Solanum lycopersicum: one gene and its partners. The protein of the gene in region 3 binds, or shares a complex with, the protein of the main gene of each other region. Links are inferred from orthologs where the notes say so. Each region holds a gene or a part of one and is shown on either strand. Other genes may lie near its edges.

Evidence for each region.
Region 1: probable chlorophyll(ide) b reductase NYC1, chloroplastic (region 3) and red chlorophyll catabolite reductase, chloroplastic share a complex: the UniProt entries of both Arabidopsis thaliana proteins name them as parts of the SGR1-CCE-LHCII complex. The link is inferred for Solanum lycopersicum from reciprocal best matches to the Arabidopsis thaliana genes NYC1 and ACD2.
Region 2: probable chlorophyll(ide) b reductase NYC1, chloroplastic (region 3) and lethal leaf spot 1-like protein share a complex: the UniProt entries of both Arabidopsis thaliana proteins name them as parts of the SGR1-CCE-LHCII complex. The link is inferred for Solanum lycopersicum from reciprocal best matches to the Arabidopsis thaliana genes NYC1 and ACD1.

What each region holds. Positions count from the first base shown.
Region 1 is NC_090802.1:10,423,282-10,427,524, reverse strand, and holds the start of red chlorophyll catabolite reductase, chloroplastic, read right to left. Parts: upstream 2,803-4,243; 5' UTR 2,736-2,802; coding exon 2,403-2,735; intron 1-2,402. UniProt on the Arabidopsis thaliana protein: Catalyzes the key reaction of chlorophyll catabolism, porphyrin macrocycle cleavage of pheophorbide a (pheide a) to a primary fluorescent catabolite (pFCC).
Region 2 is NC_090810.1:57,602,861-57,606,956, forward strand, and holds the start of lethal leaf spot 1-like protein, read right to left. Parts: upstream 2,802-4,096; 5' UTR 2,713-2,801; coding exon 2,293-2,712; intron 2,200-2,292; coding exon 1,964-2,199; intron 1,634-1,963; coding exon 1,507-1,633; intron 634-1,506; coding exon 497-633; intron 87-496; coding exon 1-86. UniProt on the Arabidopsis thaliana protein: Catalyzes the key reaction of chlorophyll catabolism, porphyrin macrocycle cleavage of pheophorbide a (pheide a) to a primary fluorescent catabolite (pFCC). Works in a two-step reaction with red chlorophyll catabolite reductase (RCCR).
Region 3 is NC_090806.1:26,308,526-26,312,685, reverse strand, and holds the start of probable chlorophyll(ide) b reductase NYC1, chloroplastic, read right to left. Parts: upstream 2,802-4,160; 5' UTR 2,337-2,801; coding exon 2,067-2,336; intron 1,992-2,066; coding exon 1,913-1,991; intron 1,834-1,912; coding exon 1,698-1,833; intron 1,635-1,697; coding exon 1,560-1,634; intron 1,488-1,559; coding exon 1,292-1,487; intron 903-1,291; coding exon 834-902; intron 267-833; coding exon 127-266; intron 1-126. UniProt on the Arabidopsis thaliana protein: Involved in chlorophyll b degradation. Belongs to the chlorophyll catabolic enzymes (CCEs).

The DNA of each region.
Region 1 (4,243 bases), on a different chromosome or scaffold from region 3:
TTATTATAGGCATTAGAAAAAGAACACTAAATGGACTTGTCAAAGAACTCTCAATGGAATGACTAACTATAAGCGGAGGAATGGAACTGGATAAGAATAAATGAACAGAAGCCAGATCCAAATTGCTATCTCCCTGATGCTTTTGCAGTCCTTATGTATAACTCCCCAAGAAGACATCAGGTGAATGCAACTTGCAGAGAACTACAAATTATGAACAAGGATAATTCTTGAAATCGAGCAGTTACATTGGTTGGTCAATTTTGGATGCACACTCTCTTAGCTTCTCTCTATGAAGATCTATTGATCTTTTCAGCAAACACCAATTGTGCATCGGAACCCACCTAAAACACTAGTTATACATTCAATCCATACTCATCTCAACCAACTGCAGTCTCTCCTACACCGACAACTCAGTAAAACGCACCCGCTCTCCTACAACCCCCAATGGTTAGTTTGAACCAATCCAGCCGAAAAATCCCAAACACACAATAATCAACTCCTTCTAGCACCAACAACCACAACACCAATAAACATCATCCCCTATTTCTTCCAATCCTTCAGAGGAACAACACATGGACAATAATAAACTCCTAAAGCTTGCCCCTAACAGTTCACCAGAACCTCCAACTTGCTATTAACACTCAGCCTACTCTTTTGCAGATCACGCATGCAACACCTCAACAGGAAAATACTACCCATTCAAAATCCACCCACCAAAATCATTTAACCCCTCAGCCAAAGGTGTCCTCAGATTTCACACACCCTCTTCAAAATTGAAATCGGATGACGCGACCAACATCAATGGAACTGATCATAACCCTGTTGCCACTGATAAATCAGAACCCCAATATTCAACTCCAACAGAAACATCCCAATTTAGCAGGGAAAGGTAAAAGGGTGCTACTTCATCGAAACCAACCTTCACAGAAAGGTTCAAGCTGATTTGCCAATGCCTCAATCGCCGAAGCTCCTGTTGAAATTAGGCATGAGACTCATCTCGGAAAGCCAACCATATATTTCTCTGCTGATGACTATTTCGTGAATTTGGCTAATAATTGCAAATGACTATTGTGGGTAAATTTATCAAAGGAACCTACTATGAAAGAACTAAGGAAAATTTTTGTGAGTCAATTTCAATTGAAAGGAAGAGTCGAGATTGGGTACTACAACTACAACACTATTTACATTGACTTTCTGTAACAAAACAGACTTCAATAACATTTTTTCAAGTCATTCATTCACATTGGGTCGGTCATACACTATGAAATCCTGAGATGTGCACAGAATTTTAAACCAGAGCAAGAAACTTCTATTGTTCCAGATTGGATACTAGTTCACAACTTACCTCAGCACCTATTCAGATGGGAAACTCAGTGCCGCCAGATATTGAAGTTGGGAATGGTAATGGTGAGAAGGTGAGATTGCAGATCATATGAATTTTCCCCCTACAGCTCCTGAAGCTAGGGAATGGGGAACAAGCAGAGATCAAACTACTTTGACAAGATCACAGAAAAACTAGTTGAGATGTATTTCACAGAACAAACTGCAAACTATTAAAATATTAGTGGGAGTTTGCAGCACATTCACGAATTTTGTTTGTTATATATTTTTTAATTGTAACGAATGGATTGTTATTTACTAGAAAGTGCAAGATATATAGCTTGAACAAGAAATACTCAATTTGAAATTAGCTCAAAGGAAACAGATTTGATAAAAATCTTGTCTGACTTCATTGGGTGAATAAAACCAAAAATACATTTGCTGATCTTCTTAACTCCCATCACCACATTATACAGATAAGTATTTGGCATTTCAATTCATGTTACTTCTATTAAAAGAATTAGCATACATAGTAAAAAGGACAATCTACAAAAAGCACAATGCGTAATGGATTAACTCTTCTGCATAAGCCAAATCCACTAAAATAAGATGACAAGATCTAGCTTTCTCAATCATTATTCTATAGTACATAATAATTTTCTTGTTTTCTTTATCAACTTCACTATGTACAAGATAGTAGTGTATTCATTCATATTGAAGGGCATTAGGAGAAAATTCTTGGCGTTTTTTTTTTGGTTGCATACTTTATGCATGCTCAAGCCTTGAAGCAAGGCTTACACATGTTGACCACTTCGCTTAATGTGCACTTCAGTGTCGTCATTAAGTCCCAAGACAAACTTTTCCTTGAAAATAAGGGTTCTAAACTATTGGTATCACACTTTATTATTATGAAAATCAATTTCTTTGTCCATAGATTTGTTATTCACCCTGTATATACTAATTCAACAAAACATCCAACAGGAAGTAATTCTATATCATACTACATATAATTGACACAACTGCAAAAACGAATGAATAGGTAATAAATAGTAGAATCAATTGAGGAGGTAGTCGGAGAGTACCTGAGAAGAGGAATTTCCAGATCTGACATAGAGAGAAGCATGAGCAGTAGCAGATTCATTCTCAAAATACTGCACATGAGAAGGCAGAGTACAAGGAAGTAGAGACTCTCCAAGACGATTCTCCACAGTCGATACAAGTTCCACCATTAACTCTCTATGCGGAACAGATGCATAAGGAAATTCCTTAAATTTCGATTCATGATGTTCCATGGAAGTTGATGACGACGAGCAACAGAAGCGTTTTCCGACGGAAAAAGAACGAGAGGAAGAAGAGGGGAGTGATTGTGTGAGAATTGAAGTGTGAAATTTGGCAGAGGAGAGTGGAACAGCCATAGCAGGAGGACTGTCATGTTCACTGCTATCTCTTTGCTTTTTGGGAAGCAAACGAACATCACGTGCTGTGGCCCATGTAATACGCTGTCGTTTGTATTTTTAAAAATCAGAATTTTGAATTAGGATTTAAAATACAAAAATTTGATTAAACATATCTTAAACATGGTTATTTTAATCAAATTTTTGTATTTTAAATCCTAATTCAAAATTCTGATTTTTAAAAATACAATATATATATATATATATACCAGTCATTTATTTCATATGTAAATAAAATTTATAATTTCTATCATGATTTTTTAAACGGTTTGTATCTCATATAATGATTGTTCTCGCAATATGAATTTATTTTGACTTTAAATTAATGCATTTCTTAATTTATCAATTATATCTATGAAAATTATTATATTTTATCAAATTTATAACTATAGTTTTAAAAAACTTGAATTGGTCCATAATATAAAAAGGAACTTTGCATATATTCACTCAAAAATAGCCTAATTATGCTTCATAGTTATAATTTGTTAATTACAATTCGTAGCTATATGTTATAGAGAAAGAGAGTGACGAGAGAGATTGAGAGAGGGATAAGAGATACGAGCGAGAGAGTGAGAGGTGAATTACACATGTATATCAGGTAGATAATTGTGTATTATACATATGTATTTCTATATATGGCAAGCGAGATTGAGAGAGGAGGGAGAGAGATGAGCGAGATTGAGAGATGGAGGAGAGAGGGTAGAAATGGGATAGAGGTAAATTGTGTATGTATATTGGTTAGATAATTGAATATTATTCATATAGGTTTTGTATATATGACAAGTAAGATTGGGAGAAGGAGGAGAGAAGCGAGCTAGGTTGTGAGAGGGAGGAGAGAGACGAGCAAGATTGGGAGAGAGAGGAGAGAATCAAGCGAGATCGGGAGAGGGAGGAGAGAGGCAAGTGAGAGAGGGCAATAATTTGTATATTCGCATCTCGTTTGTATAATTCGTGGGTACCTTTGTATAATTCCGTGTTTTTGCATGATTGAGCAATATTAAGTTTAAAATTATACAAATATGAAAAAAAACACCTCAAAATAACGAATTGATATAAATATACATTTATTGACTTTAAATAGTTACATTAAATAAATTATATTATAAAAAAAAAGTGCACGTTTATACAAACTTTTGAAAGCTATACACAAAAAGATTGAATATATAAAGTGACAAAACTGAGAAACCAAAGGAAATTATCTCATATGCAAATACAAATCATCGTATAGAAATATAAATCAAACAAAGAATTGTTAGTTGTGAATTATACGAATGTGGATAATTATACAAACGTGACTAATTATACAACTCGAAGTCAGCCCACATAATTAATGGTTAATGTTAGTCGCATGTGGTAATTATAGCAAACTATAACTATAATGAGTAATTAAGCTGTATAAGTTTGCTTAATCGCATAATTTTTCGTAAAATATAGATAACATGGGATAAATCCAAATACCATGCAAACCT
Region 2 (4,096 bases), on a different chromosome or scaffold from region 3:
CTGGTGCCATAGGTACATTAAAGGAACAAATCCATATCACCCACTTCTGATCACCCACGATTGGAAGCTTTGTGTCGATCTCTATTCTGGAAAATTTTCCAATGAGATCTTAGTCATACTATGCAAATAGTTGCAGCATGGATGGAGCTAACATTTACATATAAAACGTAATTCATACAAAGATATAAAGACATGTATACCAACAACAAAGCGAACTTCCATCTATTGATGCGCAAAGCCTTGTACAAACCATGCACCTGGTCTGGAAAGCTATACCTTAAAGAACCCGACTTGAACAGGATATAATGCCCACAACCATAAGAGTATAGATACATAATGCTACTAATGTCTCGTTTTGTTAGCAGATAACAGACTCTGTGAAGTAGGAGAAAGAGAAATGTGATGCAAGCATATCTACCTAAAGATGATTAATTTATACATGATTGCTTGCCTTGATAGTCAAGAAATTTGATCTACTTTAGGATGATGAACTTACTTATTCATTGAGTAACAAGGTGCGACAAATTTTGCAGTAATTTTTGGTTTATCATTGTTCGCACCAGCAAAACCCCAAGGTCCAGATGCCTCCATCTTGAATGGCAAGGGCTTTGCTCTGTCTCGCCTTCCAGTAACCTGTAAAATATCAACAAGTAAGTTAAGAGACATGTGTTGTTGGACACCAAGCAAGCAGCAGCAGTATCACTCTAGTAAAAATGCACATCTATATATACACCGTATTCTGTTATCTGATACATGAAGCCCTTTGCTAATAATAAAGTCGTTTAGCGACTGAAAAGATGAAAGCTCTACTTCAGATCTTTCTGAAATTTATATTTACAGATAGATACACACAACATTGTCTGTAAAGGTTATTTTAAGGATCGTCTGGCACGCTGTTCAGTATCTAGACTCCAGAGAGCCTAATCCTGTCAGCTGAATATGAAGCAACATCCAGAGTCAAAACATGTTATTCAGCATCCACACTCCGGATAGCCTAATCCTATCAGCTTCATCTTTTAAGATGGTAAGATCGAAAAACTATCCATAAATTGATAAAAGTAGCACTGAAGTCATAAGAGTGATAGTTAAGATTCCCATGGCGTACTTCTACCTATTGCTCTCCAAGTATGGCTTTTACCTAATAATTGCACAGAAAGTAAGGTTATGAAAACTTGTATAAAACAATGAGCAACACTCAAAAGCTACACCTTTATACCGTTCCAGATAAAGAGAAAATCCTCCAAGGAACGACCTTATATATGTTTTGGCCAAGCACAGCGAGCTACTTGGCTTAAGAGTTCAAAAGTTCACTTTTTTCACATGTGAAACAGTTTGAGTTCATATTTTCATGGAAATCAAAAACCAAACAACCCGTAGCTTATGAGAACTCAGAACTAACCCTGAAGACTATTCATTTTTAGCATGTAAGGATAAAACCTTAGGTCTGAAAGTGGATTCTTAACTATATTAGAAGCCAAAAAGGAATGAAAATGTTGCAAAAAATACCTTGTGGTGTGCAAAATCAATGTGAGAAGGATCAGAGACGTTCTCCATGAGAGTGTCATAGCCATAAAACAAATCACGCTGAATTGTCACAGTTGCAAACTCAGGCTTATCAAAATCTTCAGGCAACCTACAAATATCCCATTAAACAACAAATTTAAATCCCACTAAAAGTATACTCAAGTCTACCAACTATAATATCTTGATCAACGCGATAGGTAGGGGAATGGGATTCGATTCTTCAACCACACATGCAGGGCATCAACCAAGTGAGCTACCAAATCAATCTCATTATCCAGCAATAGCTTAAATAAAATACGAAGAACATATTTTAAGCAAGTCATTGTACTAAAGATAATCGATTAGTATTATAATATAAACCAAGTCACTATAGTAGAGATTAATATATAATAATATAGCATAACTTCGAACTAGTTTAATTAATTATTCAGAAACTTACATGGGCGGCTTTGTTGCCTGAGCTCTCTCCCATCCATTTTCATCAGGCCAAACAAAGAGTAATCCTTGAGAAACCATAGTAGGAAATCTAGTAGCACAAGCTCTTGGAGACTGAAAAGCTTTAGCTTCAGGTCCTTGAGATGCAGCTTGAGGTATCCTTGTACAAGAACCACATCCATTAAATGACCATCCATGATATGAACACTGCAAATCACCATTTTCATCTAATCTCCCTTCCTACAAACACCCATACATCAAAAACTTTAAAGAGGAGTGCTAAAAACACATATAAAAAGTATCCTCAAGCAAAATCGAGAAGTGGATTTGTACAGATAAAGGAGCAAGACGATGAGGGCATTTGTCATCCAAAGCAACCCACTGAGATCCAGATTTATCAAACCAGATAACTATATCACGATTCAGTAGCTGAAACGGTGTGGGTAAACTCGGGTCGAGATCTTCCACTAATGAAACTGGGTACCAATGATCTCTCCAAGAGAATTTCGACGACGAATCTTGTTCATCATTTTCTGTATCTTCAATATCACTAGATTTTGAATCTAGCTTCTCTTCTTCTTCAGTAGCTGTTGTTGTTGTTGGAGGTGCAGCTACTCTAAGAGGAGATGAAATTAGCGTATTTTTTTTCCTTGTAATTTGAAGAAAATTATGAGGTTTGAAAGGTAGTGAAGACTGTAAGGAAGATGAAATTGAAAGAATTTGAGGAGTTGGTAGTAACAGAGAAGAAACCATTATTGAGTTAATCAATGTTTTGTGTTACTAATACACATATGTTCAAGTAAAGAAGAAGAAGAAGGATTTGCGTGCAAGTTATGAACAATGTGTTTGAATTGGAATTTGATGAGTTTTGTGGTTTGTGAGGGAGGGCCCAGAAAATGAAAGCTGTGGTGGTGGTGCTTTAGGGAGAAGAAGAGACCGTGTTAACGCGGAGTGGTAAATACTTCTTTTATTTGGTTAGAGTTCTTAGGCTTGACTCATTCGAATATGGAATCGTATTTTTATTAGAGAGCTCTTTATTCTCAACGTGACACAAATTCAAATTTGATTAGGTTACACATGATAATAATTGTGAAAGTAAAGAGGAGATAAAATCAATGGTTAAATGTCAATAGCAAAATATTTCTATTACACACTTTCAACTCAAAATTTTAAAAAAATATATTTCTAACATGTGTTTGGAGTAAGGACTAAGGAGTGGAAAAGAAAATGATCTTGAAATGTCACAATATTTAGATAAGTTATTTAGTATAATTTCATAATATATCATATCGTAGCATATTACATTATATATTATTTTGATAAAAATATATTAATATATCCTATCGTTATCGATTGAATGTCATAATCAATACTTACAAGAAAATAAGATAGATCTAAGATCGAAAAAAAGATGAAATAAAATTATTAAACAAAATGAGAAGAAAGAAAAATAAAATTATAATACAGTCACACCAAATTGATGATTATACAAAATAAAAATTTTTCAATGTTATCTAATAATAAATTTAACAATACAGTACAGTAATAAAAGAGTCATTTTCTTAAAAGATTTCACCAACCAAATATGGAAAATATGTCAAAACACGCCCTAGTAGCAACAATTTTCTTCTTTGCTTTTTTTTTCTATTCATAAAAAAAAATCTAGTTCTATTCCCAATTCCCACCAATGTTTTCCTTTTCTTTTACTTGAATTTGGTATGAAAGTAAGTGCCTTCTTCCATTTAAACCAAATCATTAAAAAGAGGGGGGGAAAAAAAATTCAATTTTCCCTTTCTTTTTACCCTCATTTTCAAACTTCTTACTGAAAATTCTAGCCCCGTTCCACGCAGCATATTACATATTGTTGTTTCTGAACAATAAAGCAACATCACACTTACATATCTGAAAATCTCTAAAAGAACAATTTTTCTTGAAACAGTAGTGTCCAAGCTAGATAGGACGCTCCTCGATCACACTCTCAAACATGCAAATTTCCTCCAGAGTTTTCGATAACAATGGTGTCCAGGCCAGCTAGGGTGCTCCTGGATCACTCTCAAACATGCTAATTTCTCCTGAGCCAGTTTCAACAGACTCTCATTATTATCTCTTTTCATTGAATAGAAAGAAAAAGGGGAAA
Region 3 (4,160 bases):
ACAGTAAAGATGATAACACCGAAATCAATATCCATTAGAAAAGTATTAGATGAATAAATGGTAAAGATCTGCTATTTACAATAGATAACCTAGCATTCCAAGTTACAACCACAACAATCAACTTACACAGCTGTTAGAGGGGTGCTAGATCCTCCAGAACCTGCACCATCCATATTAAAGACATGTCCACCTTCGCTTTGGGTTTTCATGATTTGGATGGCTTCTTTAGTGCATAGTATAGAACCAATCAGGTTTGTTGAGACAATCTGTATAAAAAAATTTGGTAAGCAACAGACCAGAAATACTTACTAGAATATTAGCTTACCCATCATGCAAGTACACACAGCAGATAGTTGATTATTATATGCACATGGAGTGTTAACTTGAAAAGGTCAACAAGCATGAACACCTTGCTATGCATGACGAAACGGGGAAATTTTCAAGTAGTAGTTAAAAGAAGGCATTAGTACATATTGATGGATAATTCCAGGAAAACGGAAAGTTAAAATGAGTGACCTGGTATATAAAGTATACAAACTACATATAGGTGTTGGGGGGACGGGGAAAATAATTTGTTAACAAAGTTCTGCAACTGAACAGTTAGAAAACCCACAGTGCATACACCACCCACCCTTCCACAAGAGAGGGGGGAAAACAACAAAAGCAGCTCTTACTTGACAATTTAATATACCCCACCCTAATACCGACCCACCCCCGATCCATCTTCTATTATATATGCAGCCTTGAAAGCAATTATTTTGCAAGAGTTTAGAAATGGAAGAAGTTGTAGAGTATCAACATAAACATATGAGAACTGTCAACAACATGGATACCTCTTGAATATCATTGTCGGTGAACTCCAGCAAGGGTCGAAAGCCTTTGTTTGTCCCAGCATTGTTTACCTATATAAAAGACAACCTTTAGAAGCATGAAAACAGAACAACAAACCAGGAAAGAGGCTGTTTTTCCTCACAAGTCCTCTGGATGTGGATGACTGTATTTTCTACTCACAACCCTGTAGTTCTTGTCATATGTTGTGTATTGTATTTTGATTATCCTACTGTTATTGTTTTTCTCTTGACACTTCCAATATTTTCTCTCCTTTTACTTGGGTTTAATGCTCTTGAGTCTAGGGTCTTCTCGAGACAGTCTCTCTACCTCCTCGAGGTAGTGGTAAAGTCCAAGTCTGTGTACACTCACTCTACCCTCCCAAACCCCACTTTGTAGGATTTGACGGGGTATATTGTTGTTGTGGTGGTCTTTTGCTATGAAGAAAAAGAAAATTACTCACCCAAATGTCAATATAACCAAGTTCATCTGCAGCAAACTTGCCCAGTTCTTTAACATCAACAGGTTCAGAGACGTCACAAGCCATACCAACCAGTTTTGCATGTGCCAACTTTAGTCTAGCAGAGCCGGTGGCAGCATTGACAGCTTCCTTCAGATTTTCCTCAAGCTCCTCGATAGTCAAACGGACAGATGCCGGGCTGTGTTAAGGAATGATGTATTTACAAGAGATGCTAAACAAAATAAGTGGATGCAAATAATCAATTAATTACCTGCGGGAGGTAACAATGACCCGATCTCCAGAAAGTAAGAATTCGCGGGCAAGAGCTTTCCCTAGTCCCCTTGTACTGCACCAAAAAATAATTAAAATGGTAATTACAAACAATGAAGGTATGAGTAAAGTATTATACCTTCCAGTTATAAGGACATTACGGGGGCCAGCTCGAGCAACATCATCCAAAACTAAATTGGATCCTATCATAGTGCCGATAATAATTCCTCCAAGCCAGCTGTACCATATCAATTCATTCATCTGGCTATCTCCACCTGTAACAATTAGAATTAGTTGTTACCAATCAATCCATGCCTTAAAAACTTTCAAAAGATGATAAATGAATTTGCTAACCTGACAACTGAAACCCAACGAACATGACAACACCTGTGCTCATCATTGTTATAATATATCTTCCAACATATAAAGCCAACTGCAAGATTGGAATACAAATTTAACTTTTTCCCATTCTCAATTGATGTTAAAGATGTGTAAGAAACATATGTACCCAGAATAATCTCTCTTCCAACATCTCCATAGCTTCTCTAAGCTTATTTTCAGTTCTCAAACTTGGCTTTGAACAACTCCATACAGCAGACCTAATAGCTCCAACCAACTTGTTCACCTTCACATACTCAGCATCATCAGACTTAAAGCTCCTGCAAGGTTGTACAAAAACTCTACGTCGTCCATGAACCTTCACAATCGAAGGCCGGAAAACATTACTGCTCGGTAGTAGGTGGTGCGTTGACACGTGTACCTTCGCCACCATGTCCATTTATTATTTTAATAAAAATAAAAAAGAAAAATGGTGCACTTTTTGTTTTGTTTTACAAAGATCTATATGAATTTTATATATATGCAAGGAAAGAGATATAAATATCCAAATTTTTAGGGATTTGGATTGTGTGACTTGAAATTTTCTCGGATCTAGTCTACTACAAAAAGAAAATATCTAAGGAGTTGGAAGGAATTTGATTTTTGAAAGATCAAAGGGAAACCAAGTTGATGACCACACGTTAAAGCTACTCTTTATCTACACGTTTCATCTGCTACGTGTCATTGTAGGTCCGCATATATATTACCGTCAACATTATCTCCTTCTCCCACTTGTGTTTCAAAAATAATCAAAACTTCAATTCTAATGTGTTTAACAAAAATCAAATACGCAAGTGAATTGTCTATTTGAGTTTATTCATGAATTCTGTATGTATATTTCTAAGATAATATGATCCATTGTGGTAGCTATGTACCTACTTGTTTGGGCATTTAACATTATCACATTTTGAGTGATTTTTCAACACTGTTTGGTTATGGTATAACTTGTCTCTTGTTCATGTATAAAATAATGTATTAAGTTATGCAATATTTAGTAGAAATTCTTGTTTAGGTAGAAAAGTCAACATAACTTATATCATGTTTGGTTGCATTTTTGTAGTTTTATATAATTTATATCAACATAACTTATGAGGGAATCTATGTATAAAGTTATGTAAGGTAGAAAGTAAAATAAGTTATGCGGGTATTATTTATACATGTATTAAAGTGACAAATTACATATTTACCCTATTAATTTATTTTATTGTTTATAATTAGAAATTTTATTGTATTCCTATATTGTTATTGTAACTACCCGCTAGGTCGTTTTGAGAAGTAGGACTAGTTTGGCTCCTTTTGAAAATTTAAAGGGTTATTTTTAAGCTTTTAGATAACTATGAGTACCTAATTGATGAAACTTTTATTAAATAAATAATTAGATAATAGATTAGTGGAGTTTCACGATTAATAATTTCTTATTTAGAAGAAAAGAAAAAACGAAAAGTAAGGAGGCGAAACCTTATCACAGGCTACCAGCGAGAGGGAGAAAATCACAGCCATTGTTCAGGTAAAGATATGAGATATTCGTTCTTTTCAATTCTATATATAGTAATATATTGTCGGAGTGTTTGGGATTGTATTATTATTCTATGCTATATTGATAATGGGAGAATTGGTGGAGATGTGGAAAAAAAAACCAATCTTCTGCCAATGGAGGCATTCGCGATGTGTATGTTGTTAGCACTGCTCACGTTTCTTCGGAATCCTGCCAAGAAGTTAAGGCAGTGATCAATTTCTTGAAACCAGAGGTTGTCTTCTTGGAGTTATGCTCAGGTCGGGTGGGTATACTCACACCTCAGAATTTAAAGGTACCAACAATGGGGGAATGCTTTAATTGGCATGCAGAACAAATAGCACAAAAAAACGGGAAAAGGGGAGGGGCGTTCCACTTCTGCCAATGGGTGGAAATTTTGTTCACGTGTATTCATATATTAAAATGCTAGTTTTTAATATATTGGGACTGGTAATTAATTATTAGGTGTTATTTTATATGATCTAACATTGAGTTTTAGTCCATTTGAAGAGGTTAGAGTTAAGTTCTTGGCTTGAAATTTAGCAAGTGTGAAAAAAAATTGGCATACCAATATATATCAAGATTTGGAGTTTGTTGAAAATATGTGTGAGTTTTAGCGTCTATGATAGACATATAATAATTTGAATGTCTACAAAAAAATTGCTTACTTACGAATATTGAAAAATTGGTAGATTGGGAACGTTCCGAAAC